Rattus norvegicus: one gene and its partners. The protein of the gene in region 1 interacts with the protein of each later gene in a biochemical or structural test. Links are inferred from orthologs where the notes say so. Each region holds a gene or a part of one and is shown in the gene's direction. Other genes may lie near its edges.

Region 1 (6,070 bases):
TTCCCACCCTCTTGTCTCCCCTACCCCAGGTGTTCCACCGGTGAACTGGTAAAAATATCTCCTTCCTCAATTTCGACCTGGCAACCATAGGACAGTTCACCCGCTCCTAGAGGACGCGTTAGACTTGACCTGTGTTCCCCATCTTGGTCCCATTACGTCAGAAGCTGTGTTTCCATAAGCCACACACCAGAGATCTCCTCCCACACAAACCAGTGGTTCTATAGAGCCTTCTTTGATACATATTCTACCTGTGGGGCAGCCATGCTCACTGAGACGTTTGGATGATTGCCTCCTGGCTCTTCAGGGGTACTGTGTGAGCTAAGGTTCCAGACCTAGTGCTGTGGGAATGGACAAGTTTACCTCCCTGCTCTGTAAGCTGCATATCCTGTCACACTGAGTCAGGTCCAACCTAGCCATTCAGTGACTCTTAACCCTGGCTCCACGCTGACTTTATCATACACACTCGGTGACGGCCTGGTGCAGCATTCAGCGTCCTCATGCCAGTCTGTCTGCTTTTCTAGAGCATCTCCATGAATGAGACTGGCAGTAGCCTGCTCCACTTCTTCCTGCGCTTTGTCCGTCACAGTGTCGTGAAGATCGATGGCAGGTAGGCCCAGACATGGGGCAAGTGGGCAGAGTGGCGGAGGCAGGACAGGTACAGGTAGGTAGGGGCTACGCTGGCTGCTGAGCAGGGTGCGTGCTGACTGGCCACAGCACCTAGAACTCTCGAGTGACTGCCTCCTCCTCATTCCTCCCTCCCTGCCTTGCCCTTCTGCTGGCTTTTGGGCCACAGAGCTGCCTACCTATGAGACCTTAGGAGCCCCGGGATAAGCAAGAGTCCAGTGAAGTTAATGATTTTGTGTGCCTCGAGCTCATGTTGCCATTTTGTCAGTGTCACCTCACCTGTGCAGCCAGGCATGGGGCACATGGATCACCAAAGAAGAGAGAACAGTGCCCGGGACTGAGTCCGCCCAAGACTACCATGAGTTACAAGCCAGACCAGGCACTCTTTTTTTTTTTTATTCTTTTCCACAAACAATTTGGCTTTATGACAGAGGTGCAGAATGGCTTGGCGTGTGTAGTTCTGTAAACACACATACTGACACAAATGCACCTAGACGCAGTAAAGGGCTTTCGACGATAGAACTCAGAGGCTCGTGTACTGGCTGGTTTTGTGTGTCCACTTGACACAAGCTGCAGTTATCACAGAAAAGGAGCCTTGGTTGTGGAAATGCCTTCATGAGACCCAGCTGTAAGGCATTTTCTCAACTAGTGGTCCTCAAGGTGGGGAGGACCCAGGCCATTGTGGGTGGTGCCATCCCTGGGCTGGTAGTCTTGGATTCTATAAGAGAGCAAGCTGAGCAAGCCAGAACAAGTAAGCCAGTGAGTAACATCCCTCCATGGCCTCTGATCAGCTCCTGCTTCCTGAACCGCTAGAGTTCTAGTCCTGACTTCCTTTGGTGATGAACAGCAATGTGGAAGTGTAAGCTGAATAAACCCTTTCCTCCCCAACTTGCTTCTTGGTCATGTTTGTGCAGGAATAGAAACCCTGACTAAGATACTCTGTAATGTAACATTTACAAAATATGGAACACACTGTAAACTAATTAAGCTTATAACCCATTTTCCAGGAGAAAAAAAGAACAAACAGGTACTCTTTTAAAAAGCACTGCTAGGGTGAAGAGAGCAAAGTCGCTCTGGGCTGGAGCTGCCCACCAGCCCGCAAAGGCCTGTCTGGTGTGTCTGGATCAGATGTGAGGTTGAGTGCTCGAGCAGTTGGTTACACCTTCTGCACCCAAAGTCCTCCCTCACCTGGAGACTGGTACAGTGTACTTGGCTCCTTTTTGCTGAGCTGACAGAAACCCACCATGAGTGCCCATGCAGAACAGAATCCGAGGGTTATTAGAGATGGAGTCAGGCAGGACAAGGAATATCTGATTATCTGAAGTCACAATATGTGTTAGGATGTAATTGGAAATGTTCAATGAGCATGCTGGGACGCTACAAGCATGCAACCGAGTGTCTTTTCACAGCCAAGGGAGCTCCAGAGTCCATCTGTAGTAAGCACAGATTCATGAGTCTATGTCCATGTGCACAGGGCCTCGGAGCTTCCTGACGGTTACTCTCGTAAATGTGAGGGGTGCCTCCCTGGGTGACCTCCTTGTCCTGACCATCTGATAACACCCACCCCTGCCAGCACCTGTGTGTCTGTACCTGCATGTCTGTCAGTTTGGTTCCATTGTGTTCTCTGAGAAGGCACTAACTTTTTTAACACGGCTGTCACCAAGAATATTCCTTCCGTAATAACCTGTTATGAATTGTCCCAGATAAATTTTCCATTCAGGAGGCTGATTGCTTGTCATTCTTGTATAAAATTTAGGAACGCCGTGGAGTCAGTGGGCAGGGCTGTGGTCCGCACCACCCCAGGTTGTAGCGGAAGAGTGGGAAAGGGAAGAGATAAGGGTTATCTTCTTAGGTCTCAGCAGCTGACGGTGGTAGATACCACTGTTGTATATGTGACCTGTGAGCATGCTCACTGAATGGTGTCTGTTTACCCATGCATGCATGGGGAGGGGTGTCAGGTACAGGTGTGAGACCCACCGTGGCTGCTCCTTCTGACCATAACTGTCACCAATACCACCAGGTTCTATGTGCAATGCCAGGGCATCCCCCAGGGCTCCAGCCTGTCCACCCTGCTCTGCAGTCTGTGTTTCGGAGACATGGAGAACAAGCTGTTTGCCGAGGTGCAGCAGGACGGGTAAGTGCTTCCTTTTACTGCTCACAGGGGCTGGGTTGCCGAGTGGGTGTCGCTGTTGCTGTACGCTCAGGTGCCTTCGCTTTGTGAGAAGCCATGAGGCGTACCAGAGCCATCGCTGTTAGGACAGGGAAACTGTCATTCCCTTCTTTTGAAGAATCACTTTGCTTTGCCTCCATGCATTCCTGTACTTATAGTGTTATAGGGTGGCTCACTTGAAGGTGGGCGTTCTGTGAGACCTCTTGGTGTGTCTGTCTTTTTTTTAGCTTGCTTTTACGTTTTGTCGATGACTTTCTGTTGGTGACACCTCACCTGGCCCATGCAAAAGCCTTTCTCAGGTAAGGACCATCATGCCTGGGTTTCTGCTGTGTGATCAAGATAGAAGTATGTATGTACATATATCTGCATAAGATATAAACGTGCTGAGGCAGCAAATTTAACTGGTTAGTAGTTCTGCATGCCTGGAGCTCATATAGTCACCAAAACCTAGTGGCATCTCTACAAAGTGGCAGAGGCACCGCACCTGTGCAGCCAGGCGTGGGACACCTGCAGCACCGAGGGAGAGAGTCTGACACCTGTGACTGGTCTGGCCTGGTCTATCCCCCAAGGTCAACTCACAGCAGCCATCTGGCTCCCCCCGTACCATGAGTGTGGCTACTTGATGTGCTATCCACTGCCTGTGCACTCTATATTCTTGTGACTGGTGAGCCCCTGCAGTAACTCTGTCCTACAGGTGTCCATGGACAACCCCACCTAGCAGCCCCTCCCGGTTGTCCTGATATTCATCCAGGACATCCTGACATTTCCCTGACAAGGTCTTAGGGGCAAAACTGGCTTCTGGAAATTTCCTCAACAGGAGCAGCGTCCTCTGTCCCAGTGGCCACTGCCTATAGGCCATTTAGTTCCTAAGTGCCACAGATGTGGTGGGGCCTTCATTGGGGGTGGCTTACTGACTTTGATAAGGATGACCAATTGGGCTCTGGGACCCTGTACTACAAGTGCATGCAGCCTGCACAGAGCACTGGAAACACCAGTACCTCAGTGGTGACAACTTCTTAGGGCTCAGTTTCATTAACCACTTTCAGTTTCTCATCTCTTGTCAGTAAAGAGAAGCCTACAAGCATCCCAGTGCCTGAGGGACCTCAATGTAAGGTCACTGCTCTGAAGTAAGGCCATAGTACCTGATTCTAGTTTGAGCCACAGAAATTAACTTTACAAGCAGGTGTGCCCGAAACCCTGGGCTAGCGTACATACTGCAAACACAGCCTGGAATACACACTATAACCCACTAGTATGAATATTATGTAAGAAAAAAGACCGCTCCTGATGCAAAAGCCACACCTCAGAACACCAATGTTTATTTAATAAGTCCAACTTCCCGGGAAGGTCTGTCCGCAAGGAAGCAGTCTATTGATTAGTACTTGCTGATAAGGAGAAGCATTGCGCATCGACAAGCATCCCAAAGTAGCTACAAGAAAAGAGGCTTTGGGGGTAGTAGGGAGGGGATGTTTTGCTACGTGATTGCTAAGATCTGACCCACAGAGTCATGGGAAACTTTCCACTTGTCTGAGGCCTGGCTTATAGCCTTATTGCTCCACTGCTTTACAATGAAGACGGGGGCTAGGCTGCAGTCTAGAGCAAGAGTGTCTGGTGTTCCATCACGGTACCCACAAGCATCTGCTCTCTCGCGTCACAGAGCACCTCTGAGAACTTCTGTGGCATGTGCTGGGTGCCTCCAGGCTCCCATAACCGATGTTCCTTCTCTTGTTTCAGCACCCTGGTCCATGGCGTGCCCGAGTATGGCTGCATGATAAACTTGCAGAAGACAGTGGTGAACTTCCCTGTGGAGACCGGCGCCCTGGGAGGTGCAGCCCCGCACCAGCTGCCTGCTCACTGCCTGTTTCCCTGGTGTGGCTTACTGCTGGACACTCGGACTTTGGAAGTATTCTGTGACTACTCAGGGTAAGCACACAGGGGAGTCATGAGGTCATGGGAGCAGACGGTGCTGTGGCTACGACTTTCTGTTTCCTGCTTTTAGACACAAGTGACCGTGAGGCCTGAAGTGATAGAGGCCGAAAGGTGTTTCCCTCCTTTGTGGAGATGGTCACGGCCAATATAAGAACATCTTCAGCCTTGTCCCAAGGCTCCTGCAGACCATGGAGCCAAGATGTTCCTCTATATGAAGTATAAGGGGCGGGGAGGGGGTGGGTGTTGGTCTCCACCTACCAAGAGCTCACAACCCAGATTGTAGCTCAATGTAGATATGACAGATTTGGGATAGGCACAGGTGAAAAGAGTTGGACCATTTCTTCTTATGAGTGAAGAGTATGAAGATTCTGACATTACGGCAGGAGCCTGGCAACCCACCATCTTGACAGCTGTCCATTCTATGCTCAGACTCCCCATCTCCATTGTGTTCTTTGGAGGGTCCCATTCTAAGGGAAGGGTTGGGTGCAGATAAGCCGTCTGTACCGTGCTCTCGCAGGCCTGGGCTCCTCAGCCTCAGTCCATGGGACTCAGTTCAGATTTCTTGACTCCACCCTCTGCCTCCCAGACCCACCTTTGTTGCCCCAGCCCCAGCCTAGTGCTGAGCTCGCCAGTGTACCTGCCCCAGCCCCTGGTACTCTTCAGTGTTACAGAGTCATGGGTAAATCAATCGAAGAAGAATTCCCCTCTGAACATACTGCTAGAGTCTGAAAACCACACACCCTTATAGGAAGCCAGGCGGGCCCTGGACAGGGGCCATTAGCGACCATATGTAGACCATAAGGGCCCTGTTTCCAGAGTCCATGTTAAGTGTGGCTGTGAGCTCAGCCTGAGCTTTTGGTGTGGGTGCATCAGCCGAGCTCAGTATCCTTCTGCCGGAGCCAGGGACAATGCATCTGGAGGTCAGCCAAAGTGGCTAGCAACATCCTAAAGGGAAAACACAGTGATGGGAGTTTCTTCTCCCCAAACCACAGCTTTCATGCAAAGTGTGAAGAGAGCTGACAGCACCGTGGAGTGTCACGGAGTGGGAAACCTCTTCCTCCACCCACACGCACAGGCATGCACCTCACACATGCACAAAAAGTAAGAAACCTGACAGAGGTAACCATACCCGTCACTTGTATTCATCTTTGAGGATGATGCCAAGTCACTGGACAACAAGAAGGCACCACCCCATCATTCTGTCCTGCACGCGTCCATCCGTCGTCCCAGAGTGACCAACTCTGCAGGTGGTTTGACACCGCTGTAGGCACTCCCTTACTGTTTCCTGTCACCAAGATCTGGCTGGAGACAATCCTCCACTCCAGTCATAGCCCTGTGCTGGGAAGG
Region 2 (6,194 bases), about 140 Mb from region 1:
GCCAGCTCTACAGCACCTCTCCATGGTTTCTGTTTTCTTACTTCCAGGCAGGCTGAGCTGCTGCTTCCTGGGGCTGAGTTTCATCGCTATGTAGGGGGACCTGCAAAGACCCACATTATAAGGTCCCCACATCCCTATCAGCTCCCCCAGGCCTTGGCCCCTCATGTGGACTTTGGTAAACCCAATGGGGTTGGTGGAGGTTGGGGGTTGGGGGGGGCAGAGCTACAGGCTGAAGAAGTTTAGATAACACAGGAGGCATGGAGTGTTTCCGGTAGTGAAGTGGGTGGTAGTACCTGTGAGACCTCCTTAAGCCTGACCCTTTCCACAGTGGCGGGGCTGCACCGTTTCCCCCCTTTATCATCTCCGAGACAACGTCCAGAGCCACAAGGAGTGGGACCTGTTGGCCTGCACCTGGGAGTGACTCCATCTGTGCTTCGTCAGCGATATAACCTGACAGCCCGAGATGTGGGCTCTGGCACCACCAACAATAGCCAGGCCTGTGCCCAGGTGAGCCATGCAAAACCCTGGGGTCATCACAACCTCTTCAAGATATCTTCAGTGCTTCACTACCCTGGGCCTCACTCTCTGATCTACAACTCCTGATTTGGATGTTTCCACAGTTCCTGGAACAGTACTTCCATAACTCGGATCTGACTGAGTTCATGCGCCTGTTTGGTAGCAGTTTTGCACACCAGGCCTCAGTAGCAAGAGTGGTTGGAAAGCAGGGGCGAGGCCGAGCGGGCATCGAGGCCAGTCTAGATGTGGAATACCTGATGAGTGCTGGTGCCAATATCTCCACTTGGGTCTACAGTAGCCCTGGTATTGCAAAGTTGGGGGATGGGAAAATGGGTTGGAGTAGACTGCTGATAGCTGCTTCATTTTATCAAGGGGACGCCATGGGCTGGCAACCATCCAATGACCACTCCTATCCCTTCTTTTAAAACAATTCAGGCCGCCATGAGGCACAGGAGCCCTTCTTACAATGGCTCCTGCTTCTTAGCAATGAGTCATCCTTGCCGCATGTACATACTGTGAGTTACGGAGACGATGAAGACTCCCTCAGCAGTGTCTACATCCAGAGAGTCAACACTGAGTTCATGAAGGCTGCTGCTCGGGGTCTCACCCTCCTTTTTGCCTCAGGTAACCTCCTACCATAAAATTAAGACATCCCACCTACCAAGCAGCAGGCTTTATCCCAGCTGACCCTTCAACCTGGTTTCTGACTCATAATAGGAACTCAGTCTTAGCAGGGTCTACTGACATGACCTGAGATCTGTGAGGTGGCATATACATTTCTTCTCGGGTATATATAAGCCTACACCCCAAGCTCTTCCCATCTGATCTGAATACTTAATATGTCTTTCCCAGGTGACACTGGAGCTGGGTGTTGGTCTGTCTCCGGAAGACACAAGTTCCGTCCTAGCTTCCCTGCTTCTAGGTAAGTACCCCACTCTTTCATGTGTGACTTTGATGCCACCAGGAGCTGCTATGGCTCAGCCTTCAGCATTACCTGTTGGGGTTCCTGTGCTCCCTTCCCTTTTCTTCCTGTATATCCCAGGCTGTGACAGCAGAATATGTTGTTTTGTTCCCTTAGTTGTTAGGGTTTGGTTTTTAGGCAGAAAAGTATATACAATTAATTCCAGCCATGTCTTGAAGGCATCCAGTCTGTCGGTACACAGGCTCCCATAGTCTTACTCTCCTTTCCAGTAAGACCCAGACCGTACCCACTCACCTCCACACATCTTGGACATCACCCATTGTCTTAGTCAGAGTTTTATTGCTGTGATGAAACACCATGACAAAAAAAGCAAGTTGGGGAGGAAAGGGTTTATTTGGCTTACACTTCCAGATCACAATCCATCATTGGAGGAAGTCAGGACAGGAACTCAAGCAGGGCTGGAACCTGGAAACAGGAAACAGGAGCTGATGTGAGGCCATGGAGATTACCGGCTTGATCCTCATGGCTTGCTCAGCCTGCCTTCTGATAGAACCCAGGACCACCAGCCCAGGGATGTCACTCTCCACAGTGGGCTGGGCCCTCCCTCATTGATCGCTAAGAAAATGCCCTATGGCTGGATCTCATGGAGGCATTTCCTCAATTGAGCCTCCTTCATCACTTAGATCTTTGTATCACACAAAACCAACCAGCCAGTACACCCGCTATCTGAATGCTGTCTTCTCCTTAGCCCCTATGTCACTACAGTAGGAGGAACCTCCTTCAAGAATCCTTTCCTTGTCACAAATGAAGTAGTTGACTATATCAGTGGTGGAGGCTTCAGCAATGTTTTCCCACAGCCTTCATACCAGGTTTGTGGATATTCCTATGGATTTGTGGAGGTTGAGGGTTGGTGGTCAGGGGAATTGTCCTCAGTTCAGCGGCTTGCTGAGCAGACTTCTGGCCAACGCTCACACTCAGAAATGTCCTTCAGGAGGAAGCAGTAGCCCAGTTCTTGAAGTCCAGCTCTCATCTACCACCATCTAGTTACTTCAATGCTAGTGGCCGTGCTTACCCAGATGTTGCCGCGCTTTCTGATGGCTACTGGGTGGTCAGCAACATGGTCCCCATTCCGTGGGTATCTGGAACCTCGGTGAGCATCAGCTTTGCTGTAAACCCTCTACTCAGGAACTACCCTCGCTCCTCCATCTACAAAATCTTGAACCCAGAACCCCTGACTCCTCAGAGACTTCTGATCTTTGCAAGCATCATCCCTCAGAAGTCTAATCCCGCTAAAACCCTGACCTATTTTTGCATCTTCATCTTGCAGGCCTCTACTCCAGTGTTTGGGGGAATTTTATCCTTGATAAATGAGCACAGACTCCTCAATGGCCGCCCCCCTCTAGGCTTTCTCAATCCCAGGCTCTATCAGCAGCATGGGGCAGGACTCTTTGATGTAAGTGTTGGAGGAAAGAGGGTGGATATTGTCATAGGATATGAGAAGGGCTACCATGGACTTGGGGTGCTTTTACTATATGGGATTGCCTCCGTGACATGAATATGAATAAGGTGCAGTCTAGGAGTACTGGTACCAGCAGGCCCAGGTCTGATGCCACCATCTCCTCCCAGGTAACCCATGGCTGCCATGAGTCCTGTCTGAATGAAGAAGTGGAGGGTCAGGGTTTCTGCTCTGGTCCTGGCTGGGATCCTGTGACAGGTTGGGGAACACCCAACTTCCCAGCCCTACTGAAGACTCTACTCAACCCTTGACCCTTCCCTGCCCTGACGAGAAAGCAGAACTGTTTCCTGTACTACAAGGGAAGGCTCAGTTTCTCGTTATTCCTCAATGGAAGCCCTGATGAACTCTTAACTGTTGCCTGCTGCAGATAGCTTCTCCCTAACCCTCAAATGCTGTGAGCAGGACTGGACTCCCAACCCTGTGAGCCATCAAACTCAGGTCTCCAAACTTCTACTTCGAGATCCCCAACAAGATGCTATAACCAGCATTTTGTCTCACCCCAACCCCATCTCTCCTTCCTCTTTCCAGCTTGAGATGTGAAAGCAGGGCGAGAAGATTCAGTCTGCATTACTGACACCAGCAGTCCCACCTAATGCTTACCACCTCTGCACTGACCGTATGCTCTTTCTCTTCCAGCTGCTTCTTCGTTCACTGAAATGAGACCTTTGTGCTAATCGTTTAGTCTTTCTTCCCCTGGCACTGAAGTGCAATGGTCTCCCTGACATTCTATCCAGTTATACACTTCTCAGTGTTTTATGGGCTTTCTTGTTTAAGAACAGGTTGGTGATGGGTTGGGGATTTAGCTCAGTGGTAGAGCGCTTGCCTAGGAAGCGCAAGGCCCTGGGTTCGGTCCCCAGCTCCGAAAAAAAGAACCAAAAAAAAAAAAAAGAACAGGTTGGTGACAATCTATATAACTATTCTAAGGAAAGTTCAAGTTTGAAAATTTTAAATGTTTTAAATGTTCTTATTGGCAAAGCTCCTCAACAAAATAAATAGGTGTTACAAATTTTGCTTTAAATTTTTGCTTCAGTGATTTTTTTTTTTGTAAATTATTTGTAAATTTACATTTTATTTTCCCCTTCTTGGCTACACCAAAGCAGCATTCAGGTTTTAATTTCAACTGTCAGACATTCACAAACATCTAGCTTCTGTGAACCTGGGTGTTCGTTCTTTCCGTCAGTTTCCCATTCCTTTTTTGCTCAGTGTATACCCCCTTTGACCACACTAACTGTCCTCCTTTTCAACTAATTATGGGATGCTGGTGTTCATTGTTCCATCCGTAGGTTTTTACTCATATTTTATTAACATCCCTTGATAGATCACTGACATCTCAAATGTAAGATACCTCATTACTTCATCTCCCTCCAGCCCAGACCTAAACTATTTCATCTCTTAGTCTGTGATATAATGCCTCTTTCAAACAAGCCAGAAACCTGTAACTCTTAATTTTCATTTTTTTTCACCTCCCTACTAACTTCAACAAGTTTTACTGACTACTTCTCCAGATATGTCTTTATCAGCTAGCGTGGTGATGCTCACCTTTAATCCCAGCACTTAGGAGGCAGAGACCAGGCAAGCCTCTCTGAGTCCATCCTGGTCTATACAAAGAGTTCCAGGCATGCCAGGCCTACGTGAGACCATGTCTCGAAAATACACAAACGTGCGTGCACGCGCGCGCGCGCGCGCGCGCACGCACACACACACACACACACACACACACACACACACACTACTGCATTATCTTTGAGCCCATGTCCTTTTTCCTCTAAACTGCAGGAAGTACTTGGGTAGGGGAGAGCCTTCCAAAGCCCCTCAGCATCCTTGACCATGGGTAAGTCATCTTCTAAACCAAACAGTATATTTATTTGTGCAAACCCTTCAAAGATTACTGGGTAAAAGTCAGGGACATTGAAACCTGCCTTCAAAATTGGGAAATAAACATTGCTAATGTCTGACACTTGGAATTAAGCAGCTGATGTTAGTTCCCTACTTCCTTGCACTCCACCTACGTGTATCTGGGAAACAACCATACAGTATTAAAATTGTCTGCCTTCCTTTTCCAGAGCTTGGTGCTAGTGAACTAGAATCTGATTCTTAACTTTGTATTCCTAGGTCCCAACCCTGTAGTTGGCAAATAGAAATTAAATAAATGACTGTTGAATTGCTAATGTGCTTCACATGTGACTTTGGCATGTTATTTCTTCGGGGTGAAACACCTATCTCTACATTTACAGCAGCACGCTTCTAGGACCGTTGTGGGTGGGAGGGACACACACCAAATCCACTAAAATCCTTAAAGACAGTGAAAGGGAGCGACAAAGAATGAAGACTGTTAAGGAGACTGGTAATGAAGTATCTGACATATGAGTCCCCAAGTCAAATCTGCGCACCCAGATGAAATGAAGTGTGCAGTCCTGGATTCTTCGCGGTCCCATCTGGGCAGGGTTGAGCCGCAGGGTGGAGGCTAGGTCTTTCACAGTTTACCTCTGCCAGTCTACACCTAATCTGCCAACAGCCAACCTAAGGTCGCCCGCGGCGGACTAAAGCGGTGGGGCGGGAACTGTGACGTCACGCAACGTGCGCCTGGGCGAGCGGAAGCGGAAGTAGCTCTGGTTGCCGCCTTTCCCACCAGCCCCATGAGCTGCAGCGGCTCCGGCGCGGACCCCGAGGCGGCGCCAGCCTGTGCCGCCTCGGTCGCGGGTCCGGCGCCCCCGGTGTCCGCTCCCGCTGCGCTGCCCACTAGCACGGCCGCGGAGAGCAAAGCCAGCCCCGCGGGGACAGCAGGGGGCCCTGGAGCTGGAGTCGCCACTGCAGGCACGGGCCCCGTGGCGGCACGGGCAGGGGAGCCCGCGGAGCGGCGCGGACCGGGTGAGCTCCGGGCCGGGTGAGGGAGGGGGGAATCTCCGACTGGGTGCCGCAGCGGGGGTTGGGGGGACCCTGCGCTTCTCACCTGTGTTGTTGATTCTCCTTCAGCTTCGGTGGCAGCAGGCGGCGCGGCTCCCCCTGAGGGGGCAATGTCTAACGGGGTTTACGCCCTACCGAGCGCGGCCAACGGAGAAGTGAAGCCCGTAGTGTCCAGCACACCACTAGTGGACTTCTTGATGCAGTTGGAGGATTATACACCTACGGTGGGCTTCCCGCCTGTACAAGGCCACCTGCCTCGCTGTCGTGCCTTTCAACCGCACCTTCATGCTTTCAAGCGTCCTCTACTAGGAAGCTGTCTCTTTATTCTTCCTCCCC
Region 3 (5,595 bases), about 110 Mb from region 1:
AGGGAATACTGCTTGAGGACACCAATAATTTCCCCTCTGCCAGTGCCCACACCAATAAGTTCCCCTCTCTCTGCCAGTGCCCACAGACGCTTTTGCGAGTTGCTTCCCCCAGAGCATCGGACCGTGGAAGAGTCACTGCATACCCGAGTATCTTTTGAGCAGATCCTCAGCCTTCCAGAGCTCAAGGTTCAGTCCTCTACCCACTTTATCCACCCACTATCTGCTGCGTTCCCTAAGTCTCCCCTGTGATTGTGAGCACATGCCACCACTCCCTGGGGGTTTTCTTTTGATGATGATGGCGTGTAATTGTGTGGGATGTGGACACATGTAAGTGCTGGTGCTTGTGGAGTACAGAAGGCAAGGAACCCCTGGTGCTGGGGTTATAGGCAGTTGTGCTAGAGACTGAACTAGGGTCCTCTGCGGAAGCGAATGGGCTTTTCATCACCGAGTCATCTCTTCAGCCCACTCTTCCCCTTTAAAAACAGTGGTTCTGAGGATTGAATGCAAGCCTTTATATTTACCGGCTGAGCTAACTGGCCATTTTCTTTTTCTTTTTTTTTTTTTTCCAGAGCTGAGGACTGAACCCAGGGCCTTCCACTTGCTAGGCAAGCGCTCTACCACTGAGCTAAATCCCCAACCCCCATTTTCTTTTTCTGATGTGGGCTTTTACTACATAGCCTTGACTGACCTTGAACTTGCTTCAATCCTCCTTTCCCTACCATGTGAGCACCAGGATTGCTTGCTGTTAATAATAATAATAATAATAATAATAATAATAATAATAATAAAAAAACAACACCAATCATAATTATAGTTGTTGTTTTTTCCAAGACAGGGTTTCTCTGTGTATCCCTAGCTGTCCTGGAACTAGCTTTGTAGACCAGGCTGCCTCAAACTCAAAGATCTGCCTGAGGTTAAAGGCATGTGCCACCATCGCCTGGCTTATAATTGTTATTTTGAGACAGGTTCTCATTGTGGAGCCCTGGATGGCCTGGCTGGAACTTGCTGTGTAAACCGGGCTCTCGTTGAATTCTTAGATCCACCTGCCTTTGCCTCCTCGGTGCTAGAATGAGAACATGCATCATAACACTTGTCTGCGATTCTTCCGAAAAGAGCCTGACTGTAACAAAATAATCCCGAGTTAAGTATATTTAAAAATGACCAGTGGTCCAGCCGAGCAGGTTAGCAGATAAAACACTTGCCTTGGGCCAGGGGGTGGTGGCGGTGCACACCTTCAATCCCAGCACTTGGGAGGCAGAGGCAGGTGATTTCTGAGTTTGAGACCAGCCTGGTCTGTAGATCCAGACTTAGAAGAAAACGAAACACTCGCCTAGTAGTCCTGATGACCTAGGTTTGATCATTGGGACCTATGGCAGGAGAAGGAAATTGTCTATGTAAAGTTGCCCTTGATTTCCCCTCGTGTGTAGTGGCATGTGCTCACATGTAATCAGCTCCTCTTCCAGCTGTGAGTCTACTTGTGTCGTGTCTAGTTAGACTCCCAGGAGCCTCTGTGCCTTCCCTGGCTGGCTTAGTGGCCCTTTAGTGCCCTCCATGTCCTGGTCTCAAAGCCTCCCCTCCAAGCCTGAGCTCCTCAAGTTTCCAGAAGGGAATCAGGTGTGCTGGTGCACACCTGTAATTCAGTATCTGGGAGGTAGAGGCAGGAGGATCAGGAGTTTGAGGCCAGCCTGGGTTTATGAGATCCTTCCTCAAAAGAAGTCTCCAGTTGAGCTGGCTGAGTAACCCAGACCTGGTCCTGTGATGTTCACAGAAGGCATTCTTATGTAGGCCAACCCCTTCAAGGAGCGAATCTGCATGGTCTTCTCCACGTCGCCTACCAGAGACAGCCTGAGCTTTGAGGACTTCCTGGACCTCCTGAGTGTCTTCAGTGACACAGCAACCCCAGACATCAAGTCACACTATGCCTTCCGCATCTTTGGTAAGCACTGTGAAAACTACTGGATCCACTCCTTCCCACACAGGAAGTGAGGGCGGGTGCGTGCCTGGGGACTGCCTCTGAGCATGTCCTTGGTGCTCCCTGTGTCTGCTGCCTAGACTTTGATGATGATGGAACCCTGGACAGAGAAGACCTGAGCCGGCTTGTGAACTGCCTCACGGGAGAGGGCGAGGACACTCGGCTCAGTGCTTCTGAGATGAAGCAGCTCATCGACAATGTGAGCTGAGCTTTTCGCTAGGCTGCGGGTGTTGGGTGGGAAGGGTTGGAGCTGAAGCCTAAAGCCCTCCTTTCCCCAGATCCTGGAAGAGTCGGACATTGACAGGGATGGGACCATCAATCTCTCCGAGTTCCAGCACGTCATCTCTCGCTCACCAGACTTTGCCAGGTGTGACAGGAGCGCCTGCATTCTGAGTACCCATCTATCTACTCTGGGATGGTATTAGAGGGATGGTTCAGGATATTCTTTCAGAGGGGACCCAGCCCACTCCATTTATTTATTTATTTATGTGAGTACACTGTAGCTGTCTTCAGAACACCAGAAGAGGGCATCAGATCTCATTACAGATGGTCGTGAGCTGGGATTTGAACTCAGAACCCCTGGAAGAGCAGTCAGTGCTCTCAACCTTTGAGCCATCTCTCCAGCCCCAGTTTTGTTTTTTTCAGACAGGATTTTATGTTGCTGAGACTGACCTTAAATTCCACCTGCCTCTGCCTCCCCATTACTGATATAGAAGGAATGCACCACCACACCCAGCCTGGGATTTTGGACCTCTGGTTTCCTTTCCTCTACCTGGAATGTCTAGTTTTGTGGTACCAAGAATTGAACAGTTTCAAACCTGTTGTGCAGGCACAACACTGACACCTATGTCCAGCTCCTCAAAGGAATCTTGGCTGTGGTGGTGCAGGTCTGTAATCCCAGCACACAGAAGGCAAAGGCAGACTTGGTGCCTATTCAAGACCAGCTTGGTCTACAGTGAATTCCATACCAGCCAGAACTTGCTTCAGGGGGAAAGAAATGGGTGTGATTAGTCAGGTCTGTACCACCCCTTTCGATCAGAAAACCCCTGCGCTGGGATCTAGCAGTGGTGGAGTGTGCATGTTTAAAAGGTGTCAGGCCCTGGGTTCGATCCCCAGAACCAAACCAAAAGGCCAAAGCCAACTCACTCTTCCCTTGTGCAGCTCCTTTAAGATTGTCCTGTGATGGCTTTCAAGTACCAACATCCTGTCCAAGACCTTTCCACTGCTGAGATGTGGCCAAGGTTATGCCTGCGGTGTCAGGGCCAGAGCCGGCCCAGCCTGGAGAGGGCGCTGCAGAGTCTGGCCCCCTGGCAGGGGAGGACTCTCCCCCTTGTCACTGCTGTTGCCATCACTGTTTTTACTAATTGGTAATAAAGGTTTAGAAATGTTTGACTTCCTTGTATGACAGTAGCAGCAGGACTGGACTTGTAGGAGCCTGTGATCATCCCCACGTCGGAGACACTCAAGTTCATTTCCACATGTGTGGGAACTTACAGAATGGTTCACCAAAGAGAGGTCAGTTTTCCCATATCATCTGAAAACTTAAAACACTAGAGAGTAAAAAAAAAAAAAAATCCTGTCCAGTACCCTGAACTGGGTGCAAAGGAAGGGAATTCATCTTGGTAAGGCCACACTCTACCAGGGAAGAACTCCCAGACAGATAAAACCCGGCGCCAGGCTGGGGAGATAGCTTACTTAGTCAAGTATCTGCCTCACAAGCTTGAGGACCTCAGTCCTTAAGTCCCAATGCTGGGGAGGCAGAGACAGGAGGATCCCTGGGCTTACTAGCTAGCCACTCTATCCTCAGGGTGAATGCTTAATGAGACCCTGTCTGACAAGGCAGTTCCTAAGGATGGTACCTAAGGAGAGCCTCTGGTCTCCACATGTACACACACATGCATTCATGTTACACACACACAAAGCGAAGTTCTTCAAGAGTCTGGGCCACAGTTAACTATAATTTGCTGGACTTTATTTAAAAAAAAAAAGAAAGTAAAGTGCATCTTATTAAAAAAAAAATACAAAACCCATGTAAATTCAGGGTCCTCGTGATGGGCAGTGTCAGTATCCCTTAGAGTGGTGGGCAAGGGCATGGTGAGCTAGGACAGGGAACAGGGAGGATCCAGAAGTCTGTGTTGGAATTAGAAAACAGGGCTGATGAGGTGGGTGGCGACACAGTTCCTCAACTGGGAAAAGGACAGCAGGCAACAGTCTTCTGTCACAACGCCCCCTGGGGTCACTCCCTTGCTTTCCAGGCCACAGCCTGATACAGGCTGGAGAAGTCTGGGAACTGGGACTGAGCCCAGGGTCTGGTGAGGAGGGCTGCAGAGCCAGCCTAGCCCTCTAGTCCCTGAGGTGGTGGGGTGTCAGCGGTCACAGACATGTCCTTGGTTGGCTGAAGCTGGAGCAGGGCCCTGATTCTGCAGTGGCCTCAGCAGCGGAGTAAGGCGGAAGGTAGAATGAATAGTCCAGTGGGGGAGGGATTCCCAACTCCAGCTCACAAAGCCACTTCAGAGAAGTCCCCAAGAGCCCAGCAGGCTGAATTGGAGTGGCTGTGCCGTACAGTCTTCCTTATCTATCTCTCCTTCCTCTCTCTCTGGCTTCACATTTGCAGTTTTAAACAAAGGGCTCAGTTAAGTAGCAGAGTTCTGCCATCCAGACAGGGACCCTCTGGCCCCTGGAGGCAGCCCTTTTCGGCCAGACATTGGAACCGGCTGGCCAGGCTGTTGGTGCTGTGATACCAGCTGCCTCCCAGGCAGGGTACCATGGTTGTGTTCTGTGACAGCAGAGGTAGCTGACCTCCACTGAACATTCACAGCCCCTGAGGTCAGGGTGGCTACATCTAAAGTCAGTTCTCATACCACAGAGTCTCGGATCTCAGAGCCCAGTCGAACTCGGGGCCGGGGACACACAGGAGACACCTCCACAAAGCTGTCCTGGATACTCAGTGGCCTCTTCTCTGACTCAGTAAAGACTCGGGGCCCTGGGGAGCTATCCGACAGAGCCTGGTAGCCTCGGTGGTCAAGGGGGGTGCTGGGAGGGCCAACACCATTGAGTGGTCGGGTCTCAGGTGGGAGCACTGCAGGGCGAGTCTTGGGGTGCACACTGGCACATTCGCCCTGCTTTAGGAAGAGCTTCATGCCATCCCGATTTCGGTAGAGAAAGAACAGAACCAGAAGCACCACAGCAAGCCCAAACAGAGTACACATCACCAGGAATTCATTCCAGTATGACTTGTCTGCACCCCAGCTGGCCCTGCCACCAGCAGGTGCACTCACTCGTGATGTGTTGATAATGACCGGGGTGCCATCACTCTGGTCATTTTGGTCCATTACTCCATCCTCCTTCACCTCTGGGCAGTAGCTGGCCACCAGCTGCCGGAATCCTTCTTCTATGGACCAACACTGGAACACCCCCAAGCCCTGCTGGCTGCCTACCAGCAGCAGGTCCCCACTGGGTAACACCCGGCAGGAGGCAGAAGCATTGACAGGAGCCCCATTGTGCAGCCAGAGCCGAGTAGCCAGGTTTGAGAGGAGTGGGCAGGCCAGGGTGTTCACTGTGTTTGCTTGGATCTGGACTTGTTTACATGGCTTACCTGTGGGCAGAATAAGCATGGGGTAGAA

What was found.
Region 2: the proteins of Tert (region 1) and Tpp1 form a complex in vitro, tested with the Homo sapiens proteins (2 studies listed by BioGRID and IntAct). The link is inferred for Rattus norvegicus from reciprocal best matches to the Homo sapiens genes TERT and TPP1.
Region 3: the proteins of Tert (region 1) and Cib1 form a complex in vitro, tested with the Homo sapiens proteins (2 studies listed by BioGRID). The link is inferred for Rattus norvegicus from reciprocal best matches to the Homo sapiens genes TERT and CIB1.

Annotation. Positions count from the first base shown.
Region 1 is NC_086019.1:31,469,641-31,475,710, reverse strand, and holds part of Tert (telomerase reverse transcriptase), read left to right. Parts: intron 1-521; coding exon 522-607; intron 608-2,644; coding exon 2,645-2,758; intron 2,759-3,021; coding exon 3,022-3,093; intron 3,094-4,528; coding exon 4,529-4,717; intron 4,718-6,070. UniProt on the Homo sapiens protein: Telomerase is a ribonucleoprotein enzyme essential for the replication of chromosome termini in most eukaryotes. Active in progenitor and cancer cells. Inactive, or very low activity, in normal somatic cells.
Region 2 is NC_086019.1:169,507,590-169,513,783, reverse strand, and holds the end of Tpp1 (tripeptidyl-peptidase 1 precursor), read left to right. Parts: intron 1-47; coding exon 48-175; intron 176-328; coding exon 329-507; intron 508-620; coding exon 621-819; intron 820-951; coding exon 952-1,140; intron 1,141-1,368; coding exon 1,369-1,438; intron 1,439-2,186; coding exon 2,187-2,307; intron 2,308-2,429; coding exon 2,430-2,588; intron 2,589-2,765; coding exon 2,766-2,891; intron 2,892-3,064; coding exon 3,065-3,205; 3' UTR 3,206-3,968; downstream 3,969-6,194. Other genes in the region: Taf10 (transcription initiation factor TFIID subunit 10), read left to right, coding at 5,591-5,822, 5,928-6,082. UniProt on the Homo sapiens protein: Lysosomal serine protease with tripeptidyl-peptidase I activity. May act as a non-specific lysosomal peptidase which generates tripeptides from the breakdown products produced by lysosomal proteinases. Requires substrates with an unsubstituted N-terminus.
Region 3 is NC_086019.1:143,585,365-143,590,959, reverse strand, and holds the end of Cib1 (calcium and integrin-binding protein 1), read left to right. Parts: intron 1-77; coding exon 78-186; intron 187-1,785; coding exon 1,786-1,936; intron 1,937-2,052; coding exon 2,053-2,171; intron 2,172-2,250; coding exon 2,251-2,339; coding exon of another isoform or gene 2,340-2,397; exon of another isoform or gene 2,398-3,133; coding exon 3,134-3,155; 3' UTR 3,156-3,369; downstream 3,370-5,595. Other genes in the region: Sema4b (semaphorin-4B precursor), read right to left, coding at 4,828-5,567. UniProt on the Homo sapiens protein: Calcium-binding protein that plays a role in the regulation of numerous cellular processes, such as cell differentiation, cell division, cell proliferation, cell migration, thrombosis, angiogenesis, cardiac hypertrophy and apoptosis.